2 linked regions of the Elephas maximus indicus genome follow. The protein of the gene in region 2 interacts with the protein of the main gene of each other region in a biochemical or structural test. Links are inferred from orthologs where the notes say so. Each region holds a gene or a part of one and is shown on either strand. Other genes may lie near its edges.

The links.
Region 1: the proteins of LMNA (region 2) and EMD form a complex in vitro, tested with the Homo sapiens proteins (4 studies listed by BioGRID and IntAct, with this or other methods). The link is inferred for Elephas maximus indicus from reciprocal best matches to the Homo sapiens genes LMNA and EMD.

What each region holds. Positions count from the first base shown.
Region 1 is NC_064846.1:2,092,709-2,108,472, reverse strand, and holds EMD (emerin), read right to left. Parts: upstream 8,312-15,764; 5' UTR 8,075-8,311; coding exon 7,993-8,074; intron 7,883-7,992; coding exon 7,775-7,882; intron 7,631-7,774; coding exon 7,553-7,630; intron 7,346-7,552; coding exon 7,212-7,345; intron 6,762-7,211; coding exon 6,715-6,761; intron 6,611-6,714; coding exon 6,289-6,610; 3' UTR 5,949-6,288; downstream 1-5,948. UniProt on the Homo sapiens protein: Stabilizes and promotes the formation of a nuclear actin cortical network. Stimulates actin polymerization in vitro by binding and stabilizing the pointed end of growing filaments. Inhibits beta-catenin activity by preventing its accumulation in the nucleus.
Region 2 is NC_064821.1:193,905,429-193,921,654, reverse strand, and holds the start of LMNA (lamin), read right to left. Parts: upstream 5,834-16,226; 5' UTR 5,593-5,833; coding exon 5,237-5,592; intron 1-5,236.

The sequences.
Region 1 (15,764 bases), on a different chromosome or scaffold from region 2:
AGGCCATTTCCCGGTTCCCGGCCCTCGGGGCAAGGGACCGCGCCGGACCCAGGGCAAGGCCGAGGCAGAAGCGCTGGACCACAGTCGGGCCGGCCCCCTCCCCTAACGTAGACGGCCGGGAGGAGAGACACGTGGCGCCGCCGCCCCCGAGCGATTCGGAGAAGGGGAAGGAGGACGGGCGACCCCAGGGCGAACGGCAGCGGGGCTGGCAGCCGCGTCCACCGCGCCCGGCTGTGACCGCTCCCTTGCGCCGCCTGCCTGCGGGCTCCTACCCTGCAGGGCCCCCGTTGGCGCCCACGCCCCGGCCTCCTCCGCTGTGTTAGGGCCCCCGAGCGTGTCTCTGGCAGGGGTGGCGGTGAACCACGGGTCTGTGCCCCCCAACACGCACACGCACGCCCGGCACACAAGAGTAGTATCCCAGGAGACACAGGTAGAGCTGGTGACCCAGGCGCCCGTGAACAAGGTGTCTGTCCACACTTGTGGGAGGGGGGCGGCAGTGAGGCGACCATCTTCCCCACGCCGTCCCGCAAGGGAGGGACCCCCGAGGAGCCCCCCTGACCTGGAGGACTGCCGCGAGATCGGGCCGTCAGCCGGCCGTGTCGAGGCCTGGCCTGACTTCCACCAGAGAAAGTTTGTCGCTGCTTGAGCAGTGCTGTGAAGAGGCACCATGTGTCCCGGTGGCTCTCACACTGGAGGGCGCATGGGACGGAGCCGGGCCCCATCCCAGAGGCCCTGATCTTGCAGGTGCCTGAGGATCGGCCATTCTGACAGGCTCCGGGGGATGGGGATAGGCATATGCCGCTGCAGCCGCTGGCACGTTGAGAAGCTCTGCTCTAGGGTGTGCCCTTGCCCCAGCCGTGGCGGCTCCGCTTCAGGCTTCCCACGGGGTCTCGGAAAGACAAGGACGGGGCCGGGGACCTCGCAGAGACAAGGGGCCCTCCAGGGAGCCACCGCTCCCCCGACTCGGGGTGCACATGTGGGGGTGCCGTCTGCAGGCCAGGTGGGATGGGGTGTCCAAAAGGCTTTGCGCGGGGCTCAGCAATTCCCCGACTGACTGCCGGCTTATTGGGGGGTGGGGGGGGAGAAGGGCGGAGGGAGGTCCGGTTTGGCCAGGGAGCGGGATGAAAGAACTCTGGAGAGGCCCGAGGAAGGGACATGGCAAGACCAGGACGCCGAGCTCGGGGACCCCGGAGCAGCGTGGGTGTGCGACATTAGAAGATGGAAGGGGGTTTCTGCTCTGGAGCAGCCCCCCTCCCCGTGGTTGCTGGTGCTGTGCCGTGGGCGTGACGGTCCCCAGAGCTGGCGGGAAAGGGAAGCCACCCCTTTCCTGCCACACTCCCCTCCCAAGGAAGGTCCGGTCTCCCCCTCTCCGCTGCACAGACTTGCTCCACCGCTGGGACCTGTCTGGCTTTTGCCAGTCTCCTGCGGTGGCTGTTCTTTGTTCGGCTTCCAGAGGTGCCTGTTGTCTAACGGGAGCAGAGCGGCAGGTGAGACTGAAATGACGGTCACCAGCCACCATTTGTCCCTGGAACAAGCAGCTCTGGGGATCCCGCCCTCCTTCCCCCTCTCGGGATCGCTGGGGGGGGGGGGAGGGGGGCGGCGGTGCCAAGTTTCTCTCTCCCTACGGGAGCAGATTGTCTCCAAAAGGACCGACTTTCTGTGTTGAAGTCATTTGCCTTTCTTGCTCTGTGTTCCTCTCCTTCTCTGTTGGTTGCTGGGCTTATTCTTGTTGATTTTTAACAGCTCTTTCTTTTATAAGCTAATGATAGAAGCTCTTAGTCACTTCTCCCAGCTGTTTTCTCCCCACTTTGTCATTAGTCCTTGACTTTGTGGTTTTGGGGTTTATGTTTGGTCAGGCAGAGGATTTAGGTTTATGTTTCTTGCTGGTCTTCTGATAGCCCCTGGTGTTTCTCATTGGTTGATTTACTTTGGCCTCAAAGCAGCTGTCCTATTTGAAATCATGTATTGGCTATTGGTGGCTGTGTGACAAATTACCCCAGCTGGCTCATGAGGCTGTGGATGTGCCACTCCTGATGCTGAGCAGCTCCACTTCCCAGGCATGCCCTCCCTCTGTCTAGGCAGGGCCAGCAGACGACAGCCCCGGGCCAACATGGTCAGGGCCTGTGGACAGGAGGCCAAGGTGAGTGGTTTCCTTTTCCACAGCTGGAAAACAAACCCACCAAAGCATCCACAACAGAGACTGTGGGGGCCCCCGAGCTGTGTGTACTTTCTCTCTGGGCTTCTGCCGGAAGAACTCGCAGCCTGGACGTCTGCTCACACTCCTTCTGGCGTTGCTACAATGATGTTTGAATACACTTGCCAACGCAGACTGCATCCCCTTTGGGAAACCTGAAGGCAAGTTTCCGTGAAGCATTGGGTGTCAAAACGTTGAGCTGGAAAATGCCCACAGGATGGGGGGAGGTGGGGCTAGTGGTCTCCAGGCCTTCTGGGGTTGTTGTGGGGCCTGTAGTGTAGTCCCTCGGCCTCCTGATTTGCTGCCCTGTGGGCTCTGTTCTTTGTGAACCAACTTTGGCCTTTAAATTCAGTCTGCCCCAGGGCCTATCCTCACCTCCCCAGTAGGGGCCATCACCTAGCTGTGTGGCCAACAGTGCTCAGTGGCTCTGATAATGACTGAGGTGGCTTCTGCTCTGATCCTCCACACCTCCCCGGGACACCCTGGGGGAACAGGACAAGGTGAGTTCCCCTGAAGGCAGGATGCACGGTGCCTCCCACCACAGGCATGAGGTGGGAGGTGGGGGGCAGGCTGGGGCCTGGGGGCCCAGAATAGCGAGAACCCTTCCAGCATTTCCTTGGTCCTTGCAGGAGGGGACCATTCCTTTCTGGGGTGACGGATGGAGCTGCAAGGGTGTAGGGTGCTTCAGGTCCTGGGGCTCTGGTTGGCACAGAGCTCAGCAGGAACATAGCCTTCCAAGGCCATTTCATTCAGCCTTGGTTTGGGTCAAGACCTTCGCTGGGGCCAGCTTCAGGAAAGAGCTGCAGAACTGAGCTGCAGGTGGTGGGGCTGTTCGCATTGCCCCCCACCCTGTGCTGCTGGATGGTCCCACACGGCAGTCCCTGGCACTGGTGCTGGGTGCCTGTCTCTGCACACCAGTGTCTCTCCCAGAGGTGGCAAGGGCTCCCCAGCAAGTAGCCAGACAGACCCACCCCTTCTGGTCTGGACACTGCTGAGGACAGCTGCCTTGGCATCATTGGGCAAGCTGGGCCCTCAGTGCAGGTCACATGCTGTCACTATCCACCCAACTTGAGTCGGTGATGTGTGATGGTGATGTGGTTATAACACCTGCTTAGGCTGCCCGGGCCGGCTGTGCCCAGGCCCTTCCTCACCACCTGCAGCTTCTGGCGTGGCAGACAAGTGTGTTCTTCAAGGGGCCAGACATCACAGTCCTCAGCTCCGTGGAAACGTGTCTTCAATCCATCCTGGGCTGGGACTCGGGAAGCCTCCTGCTGATGCTCGTGGGGGGGGGCTCTGACTTGGCTGAAGAGCTTTACCTGCAGCTTTGTCACAGGGCAATGCCCTTTGGCTCTCTGCTTTCCTGCGGGGTGTTGGCAGGCTGGCAGCCAAGGGAGCAGGTGGTCAGTGATGGAGGCCTGGGCGACCCCTCCCAGCACTGTTGAAGCCCAAGGACAGCAGGTTGCGTGGGGAGGGCAGGGCAGTGCTCACTGGGCCCTTCTCTGGGGAGCCTGGTCATGGTGCAGCCTGAGCTCATCCGGGTTCACCTGGACTGGGTCAGGCCCGGTGCACTTCATGTTCCTGGGCCATCAGCCACTGTTCTCCCCTGGCTGTCCAACAAGCCTGCCAGCCCATGCTGGCCCTGTCCCGCAGCCCTGGGGAGGAGGCCCTGCAGAGCAGGGCCTGGCTTCCCCTCCTTCCCAGTCCACCACCAGAGGCTGCTGGCCTGAGAGGGGCCACAGGTGCCTGAATGGGGGCTTGGTCTCCCTCACCTCAACCCACGGGCACCTTGCCCAGGGGTGCCACTCCTAGCCCAGGGGGTGCCACTCCTAGATTCCTGCTCTGACCAGGGGCACAGTCTCAACAGCAGCCAGGCCCTGTCCCTGCTGCCCTCAATACCTAGCTGCTCACCCAGGGAGCTAGGTACTTACTCAGGTGGGGGAGGAGCCTTGAGGGAAGGCAGAGCCCTAGAAAGCCCTGGTGGAGGGTTCTTGGGGGCCACGGAACACTCAGGAGCTTTCTGGGGACTCCAAGAGCCCTCCATCTGGAACTGGGGATGGACACCCAGGGCCCTCAGAGAGTGAACGAATGACTAAGGGGGAGACTAGGTCATAGTGACAGGGACTGTTTGCTCCCTCCCTGCTCTACACCCGTGTCTGACCACAGGGGACCTGGGGCCTAGAGAGGGCTGTTTCCTCCAGAAGCCCAGAAATCTCTCTCCCAGCCTTGGGAATTTCCCAAGCCCAACTCCTCTTCTTCTCTTGCTGTCCCTCTTACACACAACTACTCCAGAGGTTTGGGGTGTCACCCTTGCCGACCTACCCCAGGGTCCACATAGGCTCCACTTCCTTCCTCTCTGCCCAGTGCTGGGCTCCAGCAGTGCCACGGTCGGAGAACTGTGCTAGGCTGCTTACTCCCTCGCTTGTCCCTGCTTTCAAGAGACACTTGCTTGGGGACTAGCGTGCACCTCCTCACCGATGCCAAGACAGAGGGAGCTGTGCTCTCAGTGCCCAGGTCAGGGCCCCCACCCCACATAAATGGCTCACTGATCAGAGGCAGGCCTGGCACGAGGTCCCCATTGTGGACGCCCAGGGAGATAGCACTCCTGGCCTGTGCCCACCACCTGCCACACAGTCCAGGTCTCAGCCCCGGATGCAGGGCCACCATTCAGTTCGTTGCATTGCGGGCTCAGGACATCTGACCTGTGGGTGCTGGGTACTGGGGGAGGAGCCAGTGGGAGTAGGTTGAGCCAAAACAGAGGTTGATGCTGCATGAGATCATAAAATTATCAGCAGTTAACGTCTCTCATTTTTTTCTCCATGTTTTCAAGGTACAATAACCACATATTACTTTTAAGAGCACCAAAAAATGTGGAGCGAGTAGTATGCAGCAAAGAGAAATGACCAGGAGCCAGGAAGGGGTCCTAGTCCCACCTCTACCATGAACTTGCCACGTGGCTGTAGACAGGCCGGGAGCCCGGAAGGTGCAGAGCCTGTGGGTGTACCCATGTGGGTGCTGCATGGGGGCTGTCCCGGGTGACAGGCCCAGGGCCAGCCAAGTCCCACTGCCCACAGCAAGGAGCTGATTAAAGACCCAGAGGGGCGGATGCCAGGGACCCACCCCCTCAGGGCCAGCCCGGGGGACTGGACAGCAGCACCTGTGTGCCTTTCTGCTGTCATGGCAGCACAGAGCCCACGTGCAGGGAATCAAGTGGGAGTTCTGGTCTGGGTTTCCTTAGCACCCTCTGTTAAAATATTGGTAAACTTTGAAAACTGTGAAACTCACACCCATGGGGGAAAACCTGGGATTAGTGTAAGAATCTAGAGAAGTGACGGCCTGTTGCCTAGGGAGGAAGAGGCACCTCAGAGTATGCAAGCCTTTCCTCAAGTCATTCCCAGTAACTGGGAGATAGTCTCCCAGCGAGACACCCGTGTCCTGCCCTTGGCATTTAAGCTGGCGTCTGCTTTGCCCAGATAAACCGCCCACAGCTAGCCTTGTGCATCCAGCTTTGCACTTCCAGGAGGGTGCTCCACACATCTTGTGCGGGAGGGCTGGATAAGTATAGAGGCGTGAGGGAATGAGCCGGGGGACGAAACACACACGTACGGTACTCCTGGGCGGCATTCGAGCCCAGCCCCAAGACCAAGTCAGAACCCAACATCTGATAGCGACCCTTCACACCAAGATCCTGGAGGCCCTGCCAGACCCGCTCCCAAAAGAGAAAGAGCCAACACGTTAAAAATAAAGTCTTTTTATTGTGTGTTCACAAAAAACCAAGTCAGGCTGCCTTCCGCTAATCCCTCACCCTGAAGGTTATGCTGAACAGGAGGCATGCATGGTGACAACGACAGTATTCTCTGAAGGAGCAGGGTTGTGCCTGCCCAGAGCCCTAAAGGCAGAGAGAAGCAGGCTCTGGGGGAAGGCCTGCTGCCTCCCTGGCAGGATGAGGCAGGGGTCAAAGCACTGATCTGGGCCAGGCCCAGCCCAGCTGGAACACACAGGTTAGCCCCACCCCCCGCCCCCAGCAGAACACTATGGCAGTGGAGCCAGAACTTCTGAGAAGGGCTGGCTCAGAGGCCAGGCCCTCAGGGATCCACCTAGAAGGGGTTGCCATCCTCTGCCTGCATCGAATAGTAAACGAAGACTAGGAAGGCAGCAAAGACCACGAACAGGAGCAACTGGCCCCAGAGAGGGACCTGGCGGTCCTGACTCAGACTGGCTCCCGGGACCTGCTTTTCTGGCCGGATGGCACGGCGGGCGAGCCACGAAGGTGGAGAATATGAAGATGAGGAGGTGGAGGAGGTGGAGGAGGTGGTAGGATAATAGGGTTGGCCCAGGGTACCCCTGGAGATGCTCGAGATGGGGCGGTAGTACGCGATGCTCTGGTAGGCACTGTCCCTGGCATACGAGGGACATTCCCTGAGGCAAAAGAGGGAGCAGGCAGGTAGGCCAGGAGAGCTGGTGACCAGAACCAGCCCTTATCCCTGGCCATCTGTCAGTATAGGCCACGCTCAACGACTTACCTATCCTTGCCCTCCTCTTCGGAAGTGAAAAGATTGTCTTCACGCATCTAAAGAAGAGAGGGGGAGGAGACTGGCTGGCAAGGCTGGCAGGACCCCGTCACCCAAGTCCAAATTCCCCCAGCCAGCCCACTCTGTCCCTCCAGACCCTTCCTAGACTCCTGGCCTTTTGTCCAAGGGGCCTTGCCACTTGCTCAGTGACTGTCCTGGCTGTCTAAGCCCTAGTACCCTCCTTCCTCCCCCAGGACTCTCAGAGTTCCAACCTAGATCCCAGGCCAGGGTGCACCATGGGCTAAAGTGTGCTCCAGTTTCGGGATCCCCTTGCCCAAAGTAGGGCACTGTGTAGCCTACTTCTCCCCGGAGGCCTGTGAGCCCCTGGGAACCTGCAAGGAGCCACCACTTCCACCCAGGAGTCCCAACTGGTTGATCGAAACCCAGATCTGGTCACCTCAGTTTCTACCTGCATCAAAGGTGCCTGGGGTACCTAATGGCCAGCTCACCTGACGGCGAAAACTTTCAGCATCTGAGAGCGAAGCCATGGGCTCCCGAAAGTTCTTGGATGTGCCCACTGACTCAGGCTCCCCATAAGTCCTGGTGTGCAAGTAGCTCTCCTCATAGTAGTCATCATTAGAGCCTTGGGGAGAGGGGTGCAGTGGTGGCAGAGCTGGCATTGCATCTGTCTCCCCCTAACCTGCTCCCATTTCGTGTCTATGACAACCGTATCTCCTCCCCTCTAGGGCTGGTGAGGGGCGGTGGGGGTCGAAGTCTCAGGTTCTCCCCGAAACCAGGCTCTATGACAGAGAAGTTAGGTGGCGGCCCGCCCCTCCTCTACCTGTCTTACCCTTGCTCTGGTATAGTAAGGCATCCTCTTTCTTGGGCAGATCGTACTTATCCGAGTCCTCAGATGTTGAATCCAAATCTGTGCGATCGAGAGAGGGAAACGGGACCGTTTGCCCTTGGACTTCCTCTCCCTTCTGCCAGGTGCCTCCCGCTTGGTGCCCCTGCCACACCCTCGCGACCCCGTCCGCCCTGGTCTCCGGTGGTGGACCGGAGGGGCCCTCACCCGAGAACCCATAGGAGAACGAGGAGGCGGACGAGTTCGGGGGCGAAAGTCTCCGCCTCTGGGTCTCGTACTCGAAGATCTTCTTCTCATAGAGCTTGCGAGTGGAGCCTGGCCAAACACAGAGCGCGTGGCGGCGGATCAGGGCCGCGGGGCCGCGGAAGGTGGCCGCCCGCCCGGCCGCCCGCCCGGCCGCCCGCCCGCGCCGCTGCTCCGCGTACCCACGACGGGTCCGTGCGGGATGTTGTACTGGCGTAGCATGGCGACCAGCTCCGCGTCCGACAGAACCGCGTAGTCGTCCATGGCGCTGCCGGCACGGAGCCCGAGCAGCGGCGAAGGCCTGAGGGCAGGCCGGCCCGGCGACGCTGAGCAAAGGCTGCCTCGGGGCGCGGCGGGGGAGGAGGCTGCGAGGGCGCCTGAGCAGCGGCCGCGCGATCACGTCACGGCCGCGGGCACCGCCGGCGCCGAGAATGCGCGCGCGGCGGGAGAACAGGCCGCCAGAGCGCAGCCGGCGCAGACCGGTCTGGACGTGGAGCTAGGCGGCGCGGGGCTGGGCTGGTGAACCAAGACGTCACAAACGCGCGCGATTGGGCCAGAGGCAGGAGGGGGCGGGGCCCGCACGCCAGTCAAAGCGGCAGAACCGGGCGGGACTTGGTTGCGGAGCGGGGCGGGGCTGGTGAACAATAACGCCAAAAAGGAGCGGGATAGGGCTAGAGGTGGCAGAGGGGCGGGACCTGAGAGTCTGCCGAAGCAGCTCAGACACGTCTGGAAGTGGGAACGGGGAAGGGCTGCGCGCCCCGGAAAGGGGCGGGGCTAGCGAGCAAGGAAGTCGGACGCCGGCGTGTTCGGGCTACGGCATAGGGAGGGGCGGGGCCTAGTGAGCGAGCCTAACCGGCGGAAATCCTCCGGGCGGTGCGAGCCGGGCGGCGCTGGCGAACGACGACGTTATATGCTGGCGTATTCGGTGTCGGTCTAGACGTGACAGAAGGGCGGAGCCTGTACACAAGCCACCCAGCTGAAAAGCCCCCAGGGCCTATAGCGGGGCGGCTGAGCGCCCGGAGAGGGGCGGGGCTGGTGAACAAACACGTTACGCGCTGCCTTGCTCTGACTAGATGTAGAGGGGCGGGCCCTGCGGGCAAGCCGAACCGGCAGAAACCGGCCGAGATGTGGGGGCGGGGCGGGGCGGGGCCGGGGCGTCCGGGAAGAGGTGCACCCCCCGAGTCACGTGGGGCCGAGACGCCTGGATCCCCCGCCCGGATCCCTGCACCCCTTCCCGGTTTCAGGGCCTGGGTGCTCAGTAAGGGCCAGGCTCTCTTCAAGCCCTCTGCGTGGAGAACACGAGGGAGTCACGGCTGGTCGGCGGCCCAGCCCACAGGCCAGCCACCTCCCAGGCCCCTGTCCCCGCTGGCCTGGCGAGTCTGCCGGCCCCTGGCCTCTGCACCTGTGCTGCCCGCTGCCCACCACCCTCTCCCTGCCTTCCCGCCCGCCTGAGGAGGAAATGGGGCACTGGACCAGGAGGGCAGCGGCAGGCGCTCCAGGAATTCCCAGCCAGCCTTGTAAGGGGCCAGGAGTGCCAATGAGCGCTGGCAAAGGACAAGGCGTGATGCGAGTGGGGACAGTGAGCCAGCCCACCGCACCACACCACCCACCTGGGGGACCAGACGGGGAGGAGGGGGAGGTTTGCTCTCCTGGTGGAATGACCCCTGAGCTGAGTGCCCCCCAGGAGGGATGGGGGTAGCCTTCCAGAACCAGAGGGGCCTGCTGGGGGAGGGGAGCCTCAAAGAAGACTTGGCAGGCTGTGAGCACTGGGGTGTGAGCGGCTTTGGGTACTGTGGCACTGCTGTTGTTGTTGTTAGGTGCCGTCGAGTCGGTTCCGACCCATAGCGACCCTATTCACAACAGAACAAAACACTGCCTGGTCCTGCACCATCCTTAAAATCGTTGTTATGCTTGAGCTCATTGTTGCAGCCACTGTGTCAATCCACCTCGTTGAGGGTCTTCCTCTTTTCCGCTGACCCTGTACATTGCCAAGCATGATGTCTTTCTCCAGGGACTCATCCCTCCTGACATGTCCAAAGTATGTAAGACGCAGTCTCACCATCCTTGCCTCTGAGGACCATTTAGGCTGCACTTCTTCCAAGACAGATTTGTTCGTTCTTTTGGCAGTCCATGGTATATTCGATATTCTTCGCCAACACCACAATTCAAAGGCGTCAACTCTTCTTCAGTCTTCCTTATTCACTGTCCAGCTTTCACATGCAGGCACTGCAGGAGTGGCCAAAGGAGACAGAGGCCAGGGCAAACATGGGGGCTGAGCGGAGCAAACCAGGGCAGGCAGTGGATGTAAGGTGGAGTATGGCTAGGAGGAGGCAAGGCTTTGGTAGGAAAAGTGCTGTCTCTTGGAGAGCAGGAAAGAGGTGGTAGTCATGCTCAGACAAAGCCAGTCTCATGGAGTGTGGGGCTGCCTGGTGGGCTCTCCCTGGAGTGGATGAGAGGAGCTAGCCCCAAGTCTCATGTGGGGGGGAGAAGAAAAGAGAGGGGGCTCTGGTCAGCTGGTGCGGGCCGCAGACCAGCTCTCCAGGGAGGTTTGCTCAGGGTGGGGAAGAGGTATACACGTGGGGAGTGGCCAGAGGAGAGACCATGGTTTGACCAAAGACAAAGACCCTTCCGAAGAGTTGCTGTTGCCCAAGTTTTAGAATCAAGGTGGGGCCCTGCTCTGTCTCAACTGTGACAAGTAGCATTGGAGTCCCTGAAGACACTACATTGCCCTATACAGAGGGGAGAGCCATGGGCTGGGCAGGGGAGGAGGTGGCCGTTTGGGCTGTGAGCTGGGCAAAGGCAGCCTCGTGGAATCTTGAGTTTTGGCAAGATCAGATCCCAGCCCCTCTCAGCCTTTCTGCAATGCTGGCCCCTCTCCCAGAGATGCTGGTTCTGGCTTCCCTTACAGCCTGCTCAGTCTTCCCCCGTGCCACCCCTCCCCATACTGATGCAAGCTGTTTCCTTATGAGGTCAAGGAATTCTAGGTTTGCCTTCTCCCCAGGGAACACCACCCCCTTGCACCTGCCTCAGCACTCTGCCTCCTATGTCCCCCCCCCTTTTGTCCTCACTATGAGGTCCCGCCACAGAGGGCACCAGGAAGCTGAACTGTGGATGGTCACCCATGGCCGTGCAGCTCCATCCCAGACCACCAGACACTAGGTCAGGCCTTGACCATCCGAGCTAGGATGCCCTCTGCACCTCCATCACATAGAGTGGGGTCCGGAACCTCGAGTCCAATAGTTCATTCATGAAACATTTCTTCAGCCAGCATCTGGTGCTCCACGGCCCAGCCTCAGAGCTCTCAAGGAGGGAAAACTGTTCCCAGGAGCTGGTCCTGGGAAGGACAGGCAAAGGAGACACTGGAACTGAGCCTTGAAAAAGACAAATTTCTCTGGTGGACAATTGGAAAAGGGATTGCAGACAGAGGTCACAAAAAGCAGCCAGTGCAGCGGGGGTAATGGGCTGTGGAAGCCGCGATTCTAAGGCAAGAATAAGAAAAATGAGTCTCTCCTTTAAGGATGGAGAATGGCTTCTAAACAGTGGATTGTACAACTTGGAATCCCAGCAAGATCAGAAGTTAAAATGGAGAAAAATATATCACCATAAATACATTTCTCAGCATCCATGTACAAGCAAACCATTGATCACTGAGCTACTAAGTTTCTCTTTAAGATAAGGATTTTTTTTTAGTGCTAAAAGACACTTTTCTCTTCAAGGGTATTAAAGCTCCTTTGGGTTTTAACTAGTTTTCAAATGTTTTGAAACATTGCTCCAATGGTTACAAAAGTTGCGAGACAATTGATATGTTGAACACTGTCACAACCAATATTAAAACACTGGTTAGTTGACTAAAGGTCTCTCAAGGAAAGTGTTGTGTTCCAACCTTGGAACAGGTCAGTTTATCTTGGTACTGTTGGGATGACTGGTGGGAGGAATGCAGCTGACTTTGGTAGTTTCCCTGTATCTTCAACCGAAGGACACCTGGTGCTGTACAAACATTTATTCCGCCCAGACCTGAAAGAAGAGACAGAGCTGCTGCATGTGTTTTGTGTGTGTGGTGGGGGAGAGGGGCAGTAGTTGATTTCACACGGAGGTGGCAGTCCCGAACACTGCTAAGAAACCACTGCCTCCTTAGTGCTCCCTCCACCTATTGTACCCCTGGCTTGGAGCGCAGCTGCAGAAAGGCATGTGGTTTCCCTCCTTGATGAACCACGGACCGCCTTGGCTGTGAGCCCCAGCACAGCCCCCTCCTCGGTCTGTGAGTTCCCATCTCCAAGTCCAGGTCCCTCACCTATCATGTGAAGATAACCCACTGCCCTCCCCAGCTGGGGGCGCTCCCACCAGAGGGGGCAGGAGGAGAGGGAACCCCTGGCACTGTTAGAAAGCACCCAGTAAGGGTCAAGGTGTGAAAGGTCTTTGAAAGCAGAGCTAGCCAAGACAGCAAGACCAGTAGGGCCATCAGTGCCTCTTTATCAGTGCTTCCCAAACTGTAAATCAGCAACTTAATTCAGCAGGTGGTGCCTGAACTATTTCGTTCCTTACACCCTCCCTCCCTGTTGTCCGTTTCTTCCCCTCTTCCTGCCATCCTTTTTTCCTTCTATCCTCCCTTCCTTCTTTCCTTCTATCCTTCCTTTCCTCCTTCCCCATTTTCTCCCTTCCTTCCTATCTTTCCCCTTTCCTTCCTCCCCTCCTTCCTTCCTCACTTCTTTCCCTCCTTCCCCCTTCCTCCCTTTTTTCTTTCCGACCTTCCTCCTTCCTTCCCCATTTCTCCCTTCCTTCCTTCCTCCCTCCCTTCTTTTCTCCCTTCCTCCCTTCCTTTCTCCTTTTCTGAGGAAGTAGAGTAGAATAGAAAATATCAGAGTGCTTTGTAGGTAGTAAGGGAAACTCTCGTTTTGCAAGTCATTTTGTTTCATTCAGTTTGTGTGTGTGTGTGCGCACATACATTGGCTAAGGATGTAAAATGTGGTTCTTACTGCAGTTTGTGGGCAAACATGTTAAAAAATACTGTTTTACGTGACCTTCCCCAAGGAAGTGACATTTGATTTACATCTGAAGCTATCAGGCAAGCACAGGCACACAGAACAGGAAGGAGCATGGCTATGCCAGGGTGTGGCTGTGCCCACTCTGATCACAGACAGGCTGCTCATTCCCAGGCTTGGGGACTGCATCTAATCAGGTGGGATGGGCCGGGGGAAGTCTTCAGAATCCAATATGCTTCAGCTGCCCACTCCAGGCCACGCCTGGCACCCAGCGGGGTCAGATTCATAAGGCTCATCCTGGCCTCAGAGTCACTCTAGTCCAGCCCCACTGGAGCCTTGCAGGTAGTAGGTGCTCAGTGAACACCTGCACCTGCCTGTTGCCCCCCTCCCCATCCACCAGGGCAGCGGAAACCGACTTGCTTTGCCAGCCCAGGGTTGGGGCAGAGGCAGGCCTCATGCAGGGGGCCATGGCTCTGGGGGACTTCCTGGACGAGGTGGCCTCAGAGCTGGGCCTTTTCCGGTGGGGAGTGCTTGGCCCCCCCAAGCTCAGCAAGCCGGTGTGGTCCCTGCCGACCCTGCGGGAGCTCGGGACGTCCCCCCACGCCCGTGCTGGCGGCCCTCGCCGGGTGGTGAGCTCATCCCGGGGGGCGGTGTCGCCAGTGCGGCCCAGGCGCTCGAGCTCGCCGCTCACCCCCGCCCCCGATTCCTGGGCGATTTTTACCAATTAAGGCTTTCTCGCCCGGCCGGGCCGGGCCGTGCGCGGGGCGGGCGCGGGGCGGGGGTGAGGCCAACAAGAAGGCGGGCGGCAGCGGGCCATTCGCGTGGAAGCGCGCGGCGCACAGCGGACGCCAGCGGAGCCAGGAGGTGCCGGGCACGGGCGCGAAAACGAGCCAGGCGCCACCCCGCGGTCGCCGGCCGCCCGCTGGGACAGCAGGTAAGATCTTGGAGGCCGGGCTCCGCGCGGACAGGCGCCGCGCTGCACCGGGGCGAGGGTGGCAAGGCGGGCGGAGAAGCTTAGAGAACGCAGGCGCCAGCACGCGCCCAGGCCCGGACCAGGTGGAGCTGGGGTGCGTCAGCAGGACACCAGGAGTGGTGCCCGGGAGCAGCTTCCCCGAGTTTACCCACCAGCCGGTGTGTGCGTCAGGAGTCTGGGAGCCCAAGGCCATGGGAGTCCCTGAACGTTTGGTAGGAGATGGGTGCAGGCGTGGGTGTCCATGAGACTGCTGCTTCAAGGCTGTCTGAGAAGGAAGGACCCAGAGGGTAGGACCCTGTGTGGGTTGAGGGTGAGTGGACACCTGGAAGGACACCTTGTAGCTAGTGTGCCTGCTGGGAGGGCACGAGTCCACAGGGCACCAGCTGCCAGGGCATGGGAAGCTGGTTCCTGGGCTTTTGCGCTCTGTGGCTCTATGGAGCTGTGGTGGGGTGTGGCCAGGCACCGCCAGGCCAGATTCACTGGCTGGGCTCATCCCAGGTTGGCTTTGAGTTGGATGTTCCCTGCCAGCCAGGATGTGAGTAGCTCTGGCCCCAGATTCCCATGCCACTGGGGCCAGGAGAAGTGGGTGAAGTCAGCTGACTGTCCCGTTTGTATGTGGTGCTTTGGGTGGCACAACCAAGGTGGGCACAGAGAAGGGTGCTCAGGAAATGGGCGCCTTCCCCTGCCTCACCTAGACTCGCTGTGCCAGCCCAGGCCTCTTTTCATTGTGCCAGTTGGCTGTTCCTCTCCCTCCCAGTGCTCCCTGGCTACACAGGCCTAGAACCAGCTGGCTCCATAGGCGTCCCAGCTGAACAGCCTCTGCACTAGGGGCTATAGCTGGAGAGCCAGGCCTGGGGTCTGAGGGCCAGGGTTGGGGTGGGGGCTGGGTGTGCCTAACATCCAAGAATCTACTCCAAATAAGGGAAAATATGAAAGAGCTGGATTTTGGCTTCCCCAGACTGCCCGATCTGGGGGCTTTGAGATGGAGCGCCATCTGGTGGTGATACTCTGTCTTCTGGGTGCAAGGACCCTCTACACTCCCACCCCTCCCTCTCTCCAAATAGGGAAAGCCTAGGGCTGGAAGCCAGGACATCCAACTTATGTCCCCTTGTTTGCTGAAGCTGACCACTGGATAGTTGCTCTGACTCAGTTTCCCTGCCCTCTGTTTGAAGGTTAAGGAATGAACACAGATGGTCCCTTTGGATGGCACTTAGTGGACACAGAATCAATTCTTGATTGCCATCCCTGGAGCCTGTTTTCCAGTTGGAAGCAGGGGAGGGGGAAGATGACCAGAAGAACGACTCTAAACCCGTGGCCTGGCAGGGAGGGGTTCATCTGGGTGCCCCTTTACAGCTTTCCCTCCCTCCTACACCCCAGCCCTCAGACACGGTGGATGGGAAATTTTCTACAGGTGTCTGAGAGTGTTCAGGAGAGGGGCAGAGCATTTGAGGGTGGACCTCAGTACTGGAAAATGCCATCTGGACCCCCTGCCACCACCGTTGGTGGAGAAAACTCAGTGGGGTGACAGACAACCGGAAAGAGATATGCTGGGAGGCTGAAGAGATGCTGGCTGGAGATCCCAGCCCCACTGCAGGTCACGCAGACACCCAGGGCCAAGTAAGAATCAACCATATTTGGGCATGACTTGTTGGAGGACCCAGGCCTCCTTCTCCCACTGGTCTTAGCAGAGAAAGGAATTACTACTAGCCTGTGCCTCCATCGAAGAATCGAGCAGTAGGGCCATAGACATGCCTTTCCGGAAAAAAATACATAAGAGAAGGGGATGTGTTGTGATTGCACAGGATGCCCTGGGCTTTGCCGGTCCCTGTCTTCCCAGGGCCTCCCCACAGTCTCCAGAGTTATCAGCCAGAAAAGAACTCCCCACTGCCCTTGGGCCATAGTCCCAGCACCTCGGCAGGCCCTCCTCAGCCCCCACATTTGCCCTGGCTTCCCTCTCCTTTGGCCACCCCTGCAGTGCCACACTGCCCAAAGCCGCTCACAC
Region 2 (16,226 bases):
CAGGTGGTGGTAGTGGTGGGGAATCTAGGAGTCCTGGTCCCACTGCATTCCAGCTCCAGCCTGGGAACATGTAAGCCTCTCTCCCAGCCGGCAGAGGGTGGCAGCGTCAGAACTTTGGGAGGAAGGGGGAGCCCTGGCAGTCACAACCAGCCTTCTCAAAAATGCCCAGAAACTGGATCCCCTGAAAAGAAGAGTCTCTGGCTCCCTTGAGCTGACCCTAAAAGGACTCATGATTCCTGTTTGCCTTGCATTTTTTCCCCCCATCAGACACAGATCCTCATCCCTCTTGCGGCAACTCGAATGTAGTTCTCAAGAAAAGGCCACCCCTCAGGCTTGCCTTTCCTGACTAGACAAGCTCAGGGTCTCCCATCCATTCTGTCCTGTACCGTGACTCAGCTCCCCTGCCGTGCCCGGGAGCCCAGCCAGAATTATTCCTGGCTTGGGCAGGCGGGATTCCGGCTCCCTCTCCCACAAAGGGACAGGAGGGAGCCTCCTGCATGTTTCCCAAGCTCTGTCCTCTTCCTTAAGAGACTGGTAAGGGCCAAAACCCCTCACAGCTCAGCCTCAGGTTGGGAGAGCCAGTATGGGTACAGGAAGGATGGAAGAGGGGCAGTTCAAGGTCACCGGTATCTCCCTCTGGCTCCAGACACATGGTGTCTACGTAAACCTGGCCAACTCTAAGGTAACAGTCCTAACTTTCTTAGGGCCTCCAGTCTTGCCCCCAACATAGGCCGATGGGAGTCATTCCTGGGTCTACTGTCTTGTTTTCCTGCTACATGATACAGCCCTTCCCTCTGTCCTGAAGGGGAGGCATTGGAAACTAATTGTTATTCCCAACTAGCAATAACAACAAAAGCAGAAGCCAAGAGGCTAATGTCATAACAATTAACCATTTCTAATAAACCTTCTTTGGGAAATAGTGAAGGGTGATAGTACTTTTAATTCCACAGCTTGTGGGAAAAATACTTCTACTGAGAGTAGCATTAGCTATTATTTTCATGTTAATTGTATTTTATTTGCATATTAATAGTTTGGCATTTTAGAAGATGGTTTTCTCATTTTGTGGGTCATTGTACTACTTTGGAACCTGAGAAATCTCTGGAGACCTTCTGCTCTAACCCTTTTCTTTTATAGCTGGGGAAATCCAGAGAGGGGAGGTGATTTGCTCAAGGTCACACAGCAATTTAGTGGCAAAATCAAGTCTAGAACTAAGAACACTGAGGGTCAGGGCTGTTTCTACTACCCCCCCTGCCTGGCAATTTGTTGGTGGATTACCTTGGCTCTTGTTAAGGGATAGGAGACCCTACAACCTCTCCAAAAACCCTCTCTCTAGACATGTCCAGGCTCAGCCTGTGTCACCTTCAGTACTAGGAATCCAAAGGGGTGGGAATGGGATGAACTTCCCTTGGGTCTAGCTTCTGAGCCAGGCTTGGTCTTGGCTGCTGCAGCTGCTGGAGGTGGTAAGCGGCTGAAGAGGAAGAGAACAGCGGGTACAGCTGGTAGGTGAATGCATCTCTTACCAGTTGTCCCTGCAGCTGTCCCTGGCTCAGCCTGACACTGAGCTACTGGATCACTGGGGGAGGGGCTGGGAGTGAGGTTAATGGATACTTCTCATTTGAGTCAGGATCTCAGGCTCCTGGAGGCCAGGAGAAGTACTAACCAAGGGCATTGTTCATGGGAAGGCAATCAGGACCCTACTGAGAAATTTTTCTTTCTTTTGTTTCTCCCGGGCTCCTTAAGTACTTCTCGGTCCCCAGGTTTAGTTGTACCTTCTTCTTTCCCTTAGATCAAAACATGGACTTCAGGGCAGGGAGATGGGAAAGGTAAAACCAAGAGGTACCCTCAGATGAGGGCTGGGGCCCAGGGCTACCCAAAGGCCCCTACCCCATTCTCCTAATGTCTCTGCCAAAGTGTATAATCTCCTTCTGTTCTGGGTAGACAATGCTCATGACGAGTCTCAAGACAATCTCAAGACAGGAATCCCCAGCCTCCTGTAGCCTCCCAGAGCTCGATCTCACCATGCATGATCTGGCAGGGACACAGGTCTTTCCAGGTACAGGCTGGGGCAAGGGCTGTTGATCAAGTGCTAACAGGCCCTGGCAGGAGAGCAGAGCATCGAGGCATCACAGGTCCCAGAGCAGAAACTCCAGGCCTCAGGAGTGAAGCTCAGAACCCAGGGGCTGGGCCTCTAGCCCCCACCCTCAGAGCCCTTTGACCTATCCCTTAAGCTAGAGAAGTGAGGTTTAATGGTAAGAGTACTTGGCTGGGAGTCAGAAGGCCTGGGCTCAAGTCCTGGCCTGTTATCCACTTGCTGTGTGTGATATGGGACAAACCTCTGTGGCCTTTGCTATCCTTGTCCTATCAGAGCCTGCACCTCTCAGTGAGGCTGCATAAGGTGGACAATCCAGGAAGTCATCAAGCACCAGAGCCCTGTCCGGGGGGAAGAGGTACTTCTGCTTTGTGGGCTTGGGATCACCCTACTTGTGACTCAGGCTTCCTTGGTCAGTTCCGTATGGGAAGGCACAGACCCTGGCAACCCCAGCAACCCCTACAGCCCAAGCCCATAACTCTGGACTCAACTCTAGAACCACTTGTGCATATTGCCTGTCCAGAACCCTGATTCTAGAACATCACCAGAGGAAAAGGACCCCAAGATGCAGTAGGAAGGGGCATAGAACACTAACACATTCAGATCTCCATCCCCTCCTTTAAGACATCTGCTATGTCCACCCTGTCTCTTGAAAAGCCACCAGGGTAGGAAGGAGGAGGCAGCATCTGAGTCATCCACTCAGCTGTCCTACCTGGGGTGGGGCCCAGCTCCCAGCCTGGACCCCCAGACGGGCCTTCCCTATCACTCTCAACCTTCCCATTCTCCCTGCACTTGGGTATCCAAATCTTTCAGGCTCCAGGGTAAAAAGAGTGTGTGTGTGTGGTTGGGTGGGTGGGGGGAGGGAAGGAGGGCCTTCTGCGGGAAGCTTATAACCTAGCCCAGCAAAAGGAAGCCCCAAACTCCTGGGTGTGGTCAAGGTACCCAGCCTGGGCCAGGGATTGCTACAGGGTCTTACAGGCAGCTCTGCATCCCAACTCCAAGCCTGACCCTGAACTCTGAGCTCTAATTAAACATTAAACCAGACAACACCTTCTCTCCAAGCTTCAGTGGGAGGGATTGAGGCAATACCTTTCTTCCTCTCCCAAACTCTTCATTCTACCCACTTCTCCACCCCACCCTGAGGACAGCAGGCGCAAAAGGGAGGACCAAATCCTGGCTCCTCCTACTGGAGACATAAAAGGGGACAGGCACTCCAGTCCAAGCCCCCTTCGTCCCTTCACCCCTACTTCCCATCAGCCTGGGATCCAGGTGTGCACCACCCGCCCCCCTTTCCCGGAAGCCCAGTCAGGATCAGTGGGGGAGAAGAGAGGCAGGTGGCTAAATATAACAAGTACACACACCACCCCCGCCTCTGCCCCACGTGCACACACACCCGCCTGGTGTCCCAAGCCTGGACAGCTGCACCAGAAGGCAAAAGAGACAGACCGGTGTGGCTGAGTTAGCAAGAGACTATAGACGCTGCTCATCCTGTGGGCCAGATCAATGTCTTCTCAAGAAAAACATCTGCTAAAGATGTCCTTCATAAGAATCTGGAAGGCAAGGGGCTGCCTAGGCAGTTGAGTGGACTAGTTTAGAGCACTAATTCTCTTAATTCTTCCAACCAGTCCAGTGCGGGTAGGGACACACCTTGTTTGCCTCCAGTTTGTCCTGCTAAGTTGTTCATATTAGTAGGGAAAAAAGATAGGAGTGATCTCTTTCAACAGGTTGAACCCATGTCTCCCCAAGGAACTTCCTTCCACTCATTAGAAGGGTGATAGGATCTGGTCACACCCACTATACCTCTGAGCAGAGTGTAGTGAAGGGTCAGGGGTGGTGAAGGGGTAGAACAACCATAGAATACATAGAGGGGATCTGGAAGGAGCAGGAGTTTGGAGAAAATGATGCGGAGGGAGAGGGGAGGTCAAAACCCACAGGCCCTCCTGGGATCTCTAGGCCTGGGTCTTCATAGAGGAAAGGGGAGCAGGGAGAAGGAAACCAAATTCTTGGGGGGCTGGAAGAAGAGGGCCTAAACTTCCAGGCTTCCAAAGGGTAGAGTGGAGTAGGGTGTGGTAGGGTGGGGCAGGACTGGGTGAGGTGGGAGTGGCCTGAAGCTTCCAACGGCTGGATTTCAAAAATGTCACTGTATTCCAGCAGTTTAATAAGGCAAAGATCAAAAACGTCAGCGGCTGAGAGGATGGGCCAGACCAAGAGCAAAGACTGCTCGGGCTTGGCTGGGAAAATGAAAGTGGCTCACTCAGACAGGGAGGGAGAGGGAGGGATAGAGGCCTGACCCTCTGCAGACACCAGGCAAGACGACCAAGGTGGGGGGGGTGCCACCAGACCTGGGCATAACACAACTTCCTGAGCCTGGAGCCTCTGCCCTCGGTCTCCCTCCCTCCCTTGCATTCCTGGGCCAAGCAGGCCAAGGGCTGTGGGAGCTGCGGGGGAGCTGCACTCCTGGAGCCCTTTGGTGGGCCTGTCAGAGCTCAGGAAAGGTCTCAGGCATGTAGGGAGTAAGAAAGAGCTTCTGACTCTTAGCAAGAATTCAGGAAAGGGTCATGCCAAGGAGGCCACTGCCACGCCCCTGGAGGGGAAGAAGGGGGTCACCCTGCCTTGTGACCTCTCTCCAGCACCACTGGACATCTGCCAGCCTGGGAGTTCTGTCTTAGTGTGCATCACGTGCTCAGAGCCAGCTTGCCCAAATCTGGCATAGTGCCAAGGCTGCCAAGAAAGTTCTAATAGGGCCCTCTCACCCACTCCAGTGTGCCCTGGGTGCCTAGATTTTTCATACCTAGCAGGGCCAGTTCTGCTTTGACCAAGCTTCTCCCCCAGGCTCCAAATGGCAGGCAAACCCCACCCTAACGGAATGCCGCCTGCCACGAGCCCCTATTTGGCCCGGATGCTCCCACTGTTCCTTGTATTTCCCACCCTCTCCCAGAGACCCCTTCCCTCTCTGTCCTATGACAACTATTCTCCTTGGCACCGCCAGTCCCTCGCCTGGGGCAGTTCCGGGGAGGGAGGAGACTATATGGCAAACTTATCAGCCTCCCAAAGCACTCTCGCTCCCTTCCTGTAGCCCGGCAAGGGCGCCGCTCCGCCTGCCCTCTCTGCTCCGGGCCCGGCAAGCTGCCACCTGGGCGCACTCACCGCGCTTTGAGCTCCTTAAACTCCTCTCGCACTTTGCTCAGCTCCAGCTGCAGGCGGGCGCGCTCCTTGGCCACCGAGTCGAGGGTCTTGCGGGCATCTCCAAGCTCGGCCTCATAGGCGGCCTTGATGCCGGACACCTCGCGGCTGACCACCTCCTCGGACTCGGTGATGCGAAGGCGCAGCCCTGCGTTCTCCGTCTCCAGTGAGCGCACACGGTCGATGTATACCGCCAGGCGATCATTGAGCTCCTGAAGGTCTTCCTTCTCCTGCAGCCGGGTAATGCGAGTGGGCGACAGCGGGGTGGAGCTGGCCTGCGCCCCACTGCGGGTGGCGCGCCGTTGGGACGGAGTCTCCATGGCCGGCAGGATGGCAGCGCTGCCCTAGGGGCAGGGGTCCCGAGAAGGGCGCGGGGCTCGGGCTGAAGGACAGAGACTGCTCGGGGTCGGAGCGCGCCGGCCGGTTGGCTCTGGGCTTGCTCCTGGCAGGCGTGGTGATCTGGGCCGGGCGCTGTCGGACTTCGGGATCCGGGTTGGCTAGTGCAGATGCAGTGCTCCCGCGAACTCTCTGAGTCACTGACGCCGGGGCAAAGGCTCTAATAGGTCTATGGAAAAGGAGGAGTGGCCACTGTTCTTAAAGGGGCCGTCACATACCCACAGGGGCCGGGTGGGATCGGCGAAGAGCTGAGAGGACCTGGGGGACGGGGGCGGAGACGGGCCCCACCCTCTCCCGCGCACTGCCTTCTGCCTAGGACTTCGCTGAAGCTCCTGCGTCTTGGTTCCTGCCTACTCAGTCCTCCTAGCTCCAAGCTTTCCCCGACTCCCTCTGCCTTCTGGGGTAGAGGGCAGAGCCAAGGGATGAGAGTGGGTGGGCAAAGGGCAGGGGGAAGGGGGAACCAGTTGTAAAGCAAAGGGAGGGGTCCAGGCGGGCAGGCTGGGCTACAGGAAAGTGGGGGGAGGGAGGAGGCTGGTGGCTAGCAGGGTGACTCACCCTGCTTCCACCACAGGCTCCCCCTTCCCTCTCCCCCCCTTCCCTCCCCGTAGTAACAGTGAGTCACCCCTACTCCCCCTCCGCACGTGGGCAGCCCATTCAAAGCTGCATCTCGGCATGCCAGGGGTGGGGTGGAGAAAGAATGCCGGGGTTCCCCCGGGGGACAGCGAAGTTCTGGGTCCTGAGTTCCTTTACCCCCTCAGTCTTGGGGTAGAATCAGGAATTGGGGGTCCCTTTACCCCATCTTCAAGGAGCTCTGATGGCACAAGAGCTCCATTGCTAACGGAAAGGTTGGTAGTTCGAACCTACCAGCGGCTCTGGGAGAAAGATGTGGCAGTCTGCTTTCATAAAGATTACAGCCTTGGAAACCCTATGGGGCAGTTCTACTCTGTCGTATAGGGTCGCTATGAATCAGAATCGACTGGACAGCAATGGGTTTTTTGGGTTTTCTCCTATCTTCTGTCTGAATTTATTCCCTTCGAAACCAAGTGTTGGGTCTTACACCCAAGCCCAGTTTCCCAGAGAAGGCCAAGAATAGGACCCAGGCATCTGCACCCCCCATCTCCTGCCCCCTTCCTTTGGTCCCAAGCAGTTGGAAAATAGGATGCCTAGGTTTCTCCCCCTTTCAGTCCCTTTCTGCTCCTCACCCCACCCAGCCAACTCCAGGACTGTACTTATTTTTTTCCAGAACTGTACTTATTTTAATGGATAATTTAAAACAGATACCAGAGCTGTGCGTGCGCTCATCATGTTGCCAGGACACCAGGTCCCAGATTTTTGTGGTTCCCAGAGGGGCCTAAAAGGGGGAGCAGGGCCAGGGCGTGGGCAGCCAATGTTGGGTCTTCATCCCAGTTCCAGCCAGAAAGGAGGGGGTTAGGGATAGCCAAGAACCCACAGCCTCACTGGCTACAAAGGCCAGCACTCCCTCACTACACTCCTCTTGGCCAGGTTTGATTTGCAGCTGGCTCTGGGGAGGGAACCAGGACTCTTACATGACAGGAGCACCCAGGACCCCAGACTTCCTGGCCTTGGAGCCTTGGGCCTCACCAAGGACCCTCTGACCAGCCTCCTGCTCCCCCCCCTAATCCTGGCCCTGACCCCACCAGCCACCTAATCCACTCTAAGAGGTGTCAGTGCTGAGGCTCGAGGACCCATCTGCCTGCCTGACCCGCCTGATGCCTCTCACAGTTTATTCTCTGATGAGGAACCCAGGAAATTAAATTATGTTGCTAACTCCTACAGCTCCCAGATAGCAGGATTTCTGTAATAGACAGGGGAAGCAGGGCTGGGCAGCTCCTCAGTTCTGGGTTCTGGAGCCAGGCTTCAAAGTGCACAAGGGGCAGTAGTGGGATTAAGGCAGGGACTCTGTTCAGGGAGGGACTGATGGGAGGGGGTGCCTAGGTCCCCATCTCTGTGAGGGTGACTGGCCAGTGGGGTAAGCACCCACCTCTGGGACTCAGGACATGACTCCCCTCCCTGCAGCCCTCTCCCCCAGGGTGCAGCACCCCACCCTCAGCTTCCCAGACAAAACAAAAAGCCTTGTTCTGCTTCTCCCTCTCCTGTTCCCCAAACCAAGAGCAGAGGCAGGGTGGCTGAGCCAGAGAAACGTGAGGGGACGGCTCGTGCTGTTCCCGCTGCCTCAGCCCCTCCCTGGCACCGAGCCCCCCCTCCGCCCCACCCAGTGGCCTGGCTTCCCCTCTTGGCTGGGAAGGCAAAACCACACTTAACTCTTCCTATCCTGGACCACCTCATCTTTGGGGAGAAGGGGCAGGAGAAAGGAACAGGGCTTTCACCCCAAATTTCACTCTGGGCTCTTTCCAAAAGGCCTTCCCTCCCACCACAATGGCATCAATTCCTAATTTGAACTTCAAAGTGGGCCTTTGTTCCTGAACATTTCATCCTAACCCTGGCCCCCCAAATGCTATCTGTTTGCTTTCCCAGGAGAGCAGAAGAGATCAGGTCCCACAGGGCTGGGTCTGCTGGGGTGAGGGTGGAGGGGAATTGTTCCTGGGTGGCAACCAGGTTCCAAACCTACCTCTCTCTTGCTGCGTGATGCCAGACCAGCTACTGAATTCTCTGGGCCTTGGTTGCTCATGTGTAACATGGCCAGAAAGTCTACTAGACACATGAGGACAGAGCTCCTCAGTGTGCAGAGGGTGGACAGGGTACAGCGATGCTACACTGGCCCTCGAGGAAGCTGCCCACGGGTAGGGTAGACTGAAAAAAAAAAAAAAAAAGACAGGGAGAGGCAAAACCAACAAGCACAAAGAGTAGCATAGGGCACTGAATTGGATAATAAATTCTAAATGAACCCCAGGAGGCTGGGGCCTGGAGAGTTAATGAGTGATCTCAGGATATGGTGGGTGAAGACCAGGGGATGGCTTGGGGAGGGAAGGGGCACCTGTCTTAGAGGCCAATGATCTTGGTGGAGGCCTTTCTTTTGTGCTCCTATAGCATTCTGGGCCTCCCTCTACATCCCCCCCTTCAAAGATGAGCTCTTTGAGGGACAGAAAGGCCCAAGTCTTGGTCATCTGTGACCCCAACATCTGGCCAGTGCCCGGCACACAACAGATGCTCAGTGATTCTTGGATGAACAAATGCATCTGGCCCTGCTACTTTTCAGGAAGAGTGATTCTAAGCAAGACTCACTTCTTTCAGCCTCAGTTTCCTCATCTGTAAAATGGGAGTGTTGTAATGATTAAATAAGGTAAAATGCATTTAAAGGAAGGCTTCTTGGAAAAGAGAGATCTAGGGACTCTACAGAGGTGCTGTATACACAGTGAATTCAGTCATTTAACAAACACTTATTGAACACTTACTACATGCCAGGCACTGTTCTAGACACTGGGGAAACAGCAGTGAATAAAACAGACCAATATCCCTGCCTCATGGAGCTGATATTCTAGTGGAGCCCATAAACAAAAGATACAAATTTACAGTTTGTTAGAAGGTGGTTAAGTGCTATGGAAATAAAAATATAAAGCAGGGCAATGCTCTCAAACAGCGAATCATACTTTTATGCCGTTTATAGTTGTACATTTTCAAATACATTCTCTAACTTGGTCCACAAAACCCCTTCATGGGCTGGAGGTTACTTCCCTGTTTTAAAGGTGAGGCTTGCTTTCCCAAGACTAGACAGTAAGTAATAGCCAGAGCTCAGAGCTTGGACTAGAAACCGGATAGCCTGGTCCAAATCTAGGGTGTGCTTCACTATCTTAGGCCACTTTGGCTGGCAGCATGAGAGATGCGCGGTGTGGACTGGTGCTGGGAGGAAGTCTGTGTAGAGTTGCTGAAGTTGGCAAGAGCAGGGAGGTGAGGTCGGAGACTACGGGAAGAGAAGTGGGAGGTGGAGGCAGGGAGCTGAGAAGAGCTCTGGTACTGGGATGGGCTCTGAGCCAGAAAATTCTAGCTGCGTGGTAGGGCTTGGGGTCAAAAGGAGAAGGGAGGCATCAAGACCAGTAAGGAAAGAGTCAGAGGCATTGGTATTGGCAAGACAAGCTAAACTGGGCTGAGTCTCAACAGGGGGATGAAACCAGGAAGGTTTCAGAGGAATCCTAATAACAATTATTCTAGGGAATATTTATGGACTGTTGGTAGGCACTGGGTGTTTGCATAATCTTCTGAATTTACATAATAACTCTAGCAAATGGATACTACTATTATCCCCATTTTACAGATGAGAAAACTGAAATCATTTAAGGCAGGATTTCCCAACCTTGGCACCACTGACATTTAAAAAAAAAAAAGGACCAAATAATTCTTTGTTGAGCTGAGCTGTTCGGTGCATTGCAGGGTGTTTAGCAGCATCCCTGGCCTCTCTACCCATTAAATGCCACTAAGTGACTCCGCCCCCAGTTATGACAATCAAAAATGTCTTCAGACATTGACAAATGTCCCTAGGGAGGGGAGATAAAATGGCCCCTGGTTGAGAACCACTGGCCTAAGGTCATATGGATAGTAGCAGAACTGGAATTGTCAGGCTGTAATACTGGACAGGTGGGAGTGGGAGAGAGGAGCATTCAGACGGGATCCTAAGCCATTGGGGAGGCAGTTCTACTCCTCCATGGGGGTGGGAAGGGGTGACTCTTTGGAGGAGGTTCTGGAGAGTGGGGGTGATTTAGAGACCCAAGGCCATGGCTTAGCAATTCCTTTAGCGTTTCTTGAGGGAGGGTTCTTAACTTATTCATCCTTTGAACACAGGGTCTGGCACTAAACAGCTATTGAACAGCCGAGTCACTCAGGCACAGGTGATAGTTATAACCTTGAGCATGGAAGAACTTGCCTGTTCTAAAGAAGCCACTACCTTGTGCTAGGCACCAGGCTAAGGACTGTGTGGAGGTGATCCCATTTAATTTTCACCTCAACTTTATGAGGTAGGTATTATCATCTGCATTTTATATGCCAAGAACCCAAAACTCAAAGAGGTTGAGTGATTGGCCTGAGGTAACACGGCTGAGTGTTAGGATGGCACAGGACCCAGAAGTGTTTCATTCTGTTGCACACAGGGCTGTGAGTCGGCCTATGAGTCCAACAACAACAGCACAGCTGAGGAGACTGTGGCCTTTGTCCCGTGTGGACTGGAACCACTGCTGAGAATTTCTATTCCCACCCTAGATATACTGCATCAGAATCTACAGTTTAACAAGATCCCCAGGTGATTCTTATGTATAATAAATTTTGAGAACCGCGGCTCTACTAGGAGCATTGGTGGCACAGTGGTTAAAGTGATTGACTGCTAACCAAAAGGGTGGCGGTTCAAAACCACCGAGGGATCCTTGGGAGAAAGATGTGGCAGTCTGCTTCTGTAGAGATTTACTGTCTTGGAAACCCTATGGGGTCGCTATGAGTTGGAATTGACTCCATGGCAGTGGGTTTGGTTTGGACTGGGCTCTACTAGTGGTTTTGAGAATTGGTCCCTAGCCAGCAGCATTAGCATCGCCTAGGAGCTTGATACAAATGCAAATTCTTAGCAGGGTTTCCAGCTAGAATGAACTGGTTCCATGTCCTAGTAGGGTCATAGCTGATTGGGGGTGGGAGGAAGCCTGTTATGGATTGAATTAACCCAACCCAAGTCCCCAAAAGTATGTATTGTAAATCCTAACCTCTATGCTTGTGGTTATAATCCCATTTGAGAATAGGTTGTCTTTGTTAATGAGGCAGGATTAGTGTATTTTGAGTCAATCTCTTTTGAGATATAAAAGAGATTAAACCAGAGAGCAGAGATGGGGGAAAAGAGATGCCAGGCCACATGAAGATCTCCCAGGAGCAGAAGCTCACAGAGACAAGGACCCTCCTCCAGAGCCGACAGAGAGAGAAAGAGTTCCCCTAGAGCCAGCACCCTGAATTCGGACTTCTAGCCTCCTAACTGTGAGGAAATAAATTTCTGTGTTCAAGCCATCCACTGGTGGTATTTCTATTACATTAGCACTAGATAACTAAAACTAGTCCTTAGAAGGAGCAAGTGATTTACAGCCATTCTTTTAGGCCACAGAACCTCACTCAAAAAAGCCCTCATGATTTAAAAAAAAAAAAAAAACCCAATATTCTAAATGACAGGTACAGCCTCCCTAGGAGGGAGGTTGGGGGACCTCTGTCTGGTGATCCCCCTCCAGGAGTCTCCCAGGGCTCTGAGGAATAACCCCTTCTCTCTATAGGTAGGCTTCTGAGGCCTGAAGGGGAAAAATTTCCCCAAGTCACATGACCAGGCAGGGCCAGGCCCCCTAAAATAGTGCTCCAACCCCATCCCACACTACCCCAGGAGATGAGATGGCACCCCAGACAGATTTTGAGGTATGAAGGCACCCCAAAGGACCAGCACTGATGTCCCTCTGATGCGGACAGGCCAGGTGCGGAACCAGAGTGGGGCTGTTTTCCTTCTTTGCTCCAGCTCTGCTGGAATGAGCAGCTGGATAATGGGTATGGAACCAACTCCTCACACCTCACACCCCAGCAAGTCTCACTGTTGACACCTCACACCTGGGCAGGTCTCACTGTTGGCTACCCTTTCATAATTGAGATCACCGTAATTCTCTCAAATCTCTTTGAGGTGCACCATTATCCTCATTTTACAGATGAGGAGATTGAGGCTGGACATATTAACTGATTTGCTCAAGGCCACACAGCTGACAAGTGACAGAGCCAGGACCCAAACCTCAGGTTTTTGCCTCCAAGTTAACTATCTCCCAAGCTCTCTTCAGCCCAGATCCCAAGGAGCCCAATCCAACAGCAAAATCTTAGAATCTGCCCATGAAGTCAGTTCCCGACATTCCAAACCACCCACCTCACCCACCTGGGCCAAGATAGCCACTCCCCTGTGTCCCAGGCTCCCTGAACTTCGGTTGACTGTCATGATACACATCAGACTATGAACCAGCCAAAAAGAAATCAGGCAGCGGGCAGGACGAAATTGAGCAGTGGCATTTTCTCCTTCCTGTCTCCTCTCCACCCTCCTCCAGCTTTGACCCCTCACCTCCAGGGTTAGGCAGGGCTGGGAAGGGGCGGGGCACCGGCGGCGTGGGCGGGGTCAGGTGGAGGATCATTTAGGGCCGGTCTGGTCTGAATCGGGCTCAGGCGGGGCTGGCCGCCTCTCCGGGAGGCGGGCAGCGCTGACGGCTGGTGCTGACGCAGGCGCCTGCGTGTGGGCGGCTGCGTGTGTGTCTGTATGTGTCTGTGTGTGTGGTTGCTGGGGCCTCCCCAGCTTCCTAAATGGGGGTTTCCTTTCCCTGTTGCCAAGGAAACAAACAGAAGCGCCACAAATCCAGGGCTGGAGCTGGAGAGAAGAGCCCCCTCGCCCCCAATACACTTCCAGAAAGTGAGGCTGAGAAGGGCCCCCTTTCTCCCTCACCCCTATCCAGGTTTGTGGAGACCTTAAGCTAGAGTGGCGGGTTTGCCCAGGCCTTGAGGGGCTTCCCAGGGCAAAGAACTTTTCAGTACTAAAACTGGGACAGTCCAGAGCAAACCGGACAGTTGGTCACCCTACCTGAAGCTTATACAGTTTTGAGGGGAGGCCCTCTTTAAAAGAAAAAAAAAAAATCTCACGAATTTTACACAGACATATGACCATGTGGAAACAACAGCAGACTCCTCCCAGGGCTTTGGAAAGGCCTGTGCAACGAAGGGGACTTGAAGCTTCACCTTCATTAGCTTTATGGTGAATCTGCTCTTGTCCCAGCCCCTGCAACCACCAAGCTCCTCGGGGTCCCCTTTGAAGGCTCTCCCCTGACATTCAGGCCAGGGGATCAAGTAGGAAAGTGGATACAGCAAGGAGGGTGGTGAAGCTGCAGATTTCTGATGAGTGTGGTGGACAAACGGTGCTTTCTCGAGCAGTGGTTATGAGTAAAACCAGTTGCCGTTGAGTCGATTCCGACTGATGGCCACCGTTGTATATGCCCTTGGTTATCCCAGGGCTGCCCAAGTGGGTCAGGTGGATGGGTAGGGTCTCTGTCAAGATCAGGAGCTCTGGAGGGATGCTCTGTGGGAGGGGGGAGGGGCTGGGCTTGGGCTAATACCTTGTCATTCACTGCCTAAAAGCTAGAACTTCAGAGCTGGGAGAAGACTTCTGGCAGGCATCATGCAGCCCAACCCCCTCATTTCTAGACCTACATTAGTCCGATCCTCCAGATTCCCTGCCCCTAAACGAGCCCACAGACCCACCCTAGAGGAGCATGCATTGGCCCACTTTGCCCACTAAGCCCAAAGTTTACAGGGCACCCCAAGAGTTCACCTTGCTTTGGCCCTTGACCCCTGAGGGTCATCATCACAGTGATAGGTAATGGGGGAAACCACCCGGCGGGGGGTTGGGGTGGCAGGAGGCCTTGCTGGGAGGAGCAGGATGCAGAGGCTGAGGATGGCGTGCTTCTCAGGCCCTGGCCTTCTCAGGCTGCCCAGGATGAGGCCAAGGGGCATCTGTTTCCTCTTGGCCACGGTCCCCTCAATTGTACCCCCAGAGGAGGTGAAAATGGTGCTGGCTTCCTGACAAGGAACTTCCTGGCCTGGGGAGGGAGGACAAGGTGTCCAGCAAAATATCCCACATCCCCTCTTCCCCTTCTCCTGGGGCTGTGGGTAGGGTCCTGGGCCTCAGTAAGTACCGGTGATGTACCAGGAATCATAGCAGCCTGGGGTCTGAGCAGGTTGTGGTGGGGAGAGACAGATGACCTGTCTGGCTTAGGGGTGGGGCGTCACTCAGATACCTTAGTGGATCCAGGGGTAGAGGATGGACCAGAGAGAGTTGAGCCCTCATGAGCTGGGGACAAAAGGAGAGGTCCTAGTGGGAACAGGTGGAGGTGGCGAAGGAAGTCTACCATGAGGCAGGAAGAACTGAACTTTGAGATTCAGGGTAGGAGGGTAATCACAGCTGGAGTTGAGGCCAGGGGGATTCAAAGTGGGGAGTAGGCACAGGCGAGCCCCAGGAATTGAGGAGGGGGCAGCTGCCCTGGCTGATGCCTGGGCTCCAGCCCCAGATCCTGGTGGGGCAAATATTTACTGGGTGACGGTTGCTAAGCAGGGAGGAAGGAGGAGGGAGGCCAGTAGCTGGAGGGCCTTCCAGGCTCCTCCCCCCGTCCCCTGCTCTTAGACAGCTCAGAGAGGCTGGAGATTTACAGTTCCTCCCTGCAGGCTCAGCTACACCCCTTCGTGCCCACAAATCTTGGGGGTCATCCCAACCCCTCCCAATCCTAAACTGACAGTAGGTTGGAGGGCTGGGCTAGGGGGAGTCTAATTCCTGGGATGCTAGGCTTCCCCCTACCCTGGAACAGCTCTAGGGGCTCAGAGCTGGCAAAATGTCCTCTTCCCCATCTGCTGCCCAGTAGGGGCTGGGAAGGGGGTCCAAGGAGTCAGGATATGGTGAGGGAGGGGGTGCTGAAGGATGGAGCCAAGATGTTCAGGGAACCCAGGCTGGGAGACAGGATGAGGAGGCAGGGGGAGGGAGGCTGCGTGGGAGGAGGGCAAGGAGTGGCTCCATTGTAGGACCCCTGCTCTAGCTCCTGGGCAGGGGAGAGGTAGGGGTAGGGGAGGGGAGGGTGGGGTATGCTCAGATGGAGCCAGATGTGGCCCATGTGACCTGGGCAGTCGCTGGCATGGGCACAGCAGGGGCAGGACATGCCGCTGCCACTGGGAAGGGTTAGTCAGAGGCTGGGAGGGGGCATCCCCCAGAGATGGGGCAGGGGAGAGGGGCAGCTAGTGCAGGACCCCTGAGGGAGGGTGAAAGGGGCCAGGGCCTGCAAGAAGGGGTTGGCCAGGGGCACGGGCTGCCCTCCCTGCCCCCTCCTGCACCATTATGATTTCATAGCCATTTCCCTGGCAGAGCCTCGGTTTTCATATGCAAAATGGGGATCCTGACACCCCTTCTGGGGGCTGCAGGAGGAGTCTTTGACAGGAGATGTGCTCAGGCGGGCTCAGAGCCCAGCACACCATAGGGACAAACAGTAGGTTCTCTCCCTTGCCCACCTTCTCTGAGTGAGGCCTCTGCTTTGCAGGGCTTCTCCCTTTGGCGGGGGGGGTCTCAAAGTCCTCACCCTTAGACACAGGCCCTTTGGAAGCTGAGGGGCAGAGACAGGAGGACAGGGCTAGCAGGCAGGGCACAAAGAGGAAGGTGCTGTGACAGGAAGGCGGTTCATGGGAGCCTAGGGCTCCCAGGTGCCACTGAATCTCAAGGGTTGGAGGGCTGGTTAGCCAGGAGTGGCTACAGGAACAAAGTCCCTGACTCAGCTGCAGCCTCCACCCTGAAGCCGGGGTAGATGAAGGGCTATCACTGTGAAATGAGACCAGAGGAGGGGCTGAAGCTACACTGCAGGGAGGGCTTCTTATTGCGCCTGCAAGAGTGTGAGCAAGCCCACAGGGTTGGGGTCAGGGAGCTCCCTGGAGGCAAAGCAGAACCCAAGGGTGGGTCAGGGCACAGCAGTTAAGGTAAAACCTATGGAAACAGAATGTGGGGTCTCAGGAGAGCCTGTTCCAAGCTGGCAACCAAAAGGGTGTTGTTTTCCAAACTCCATTTGGAAAGTCTGAA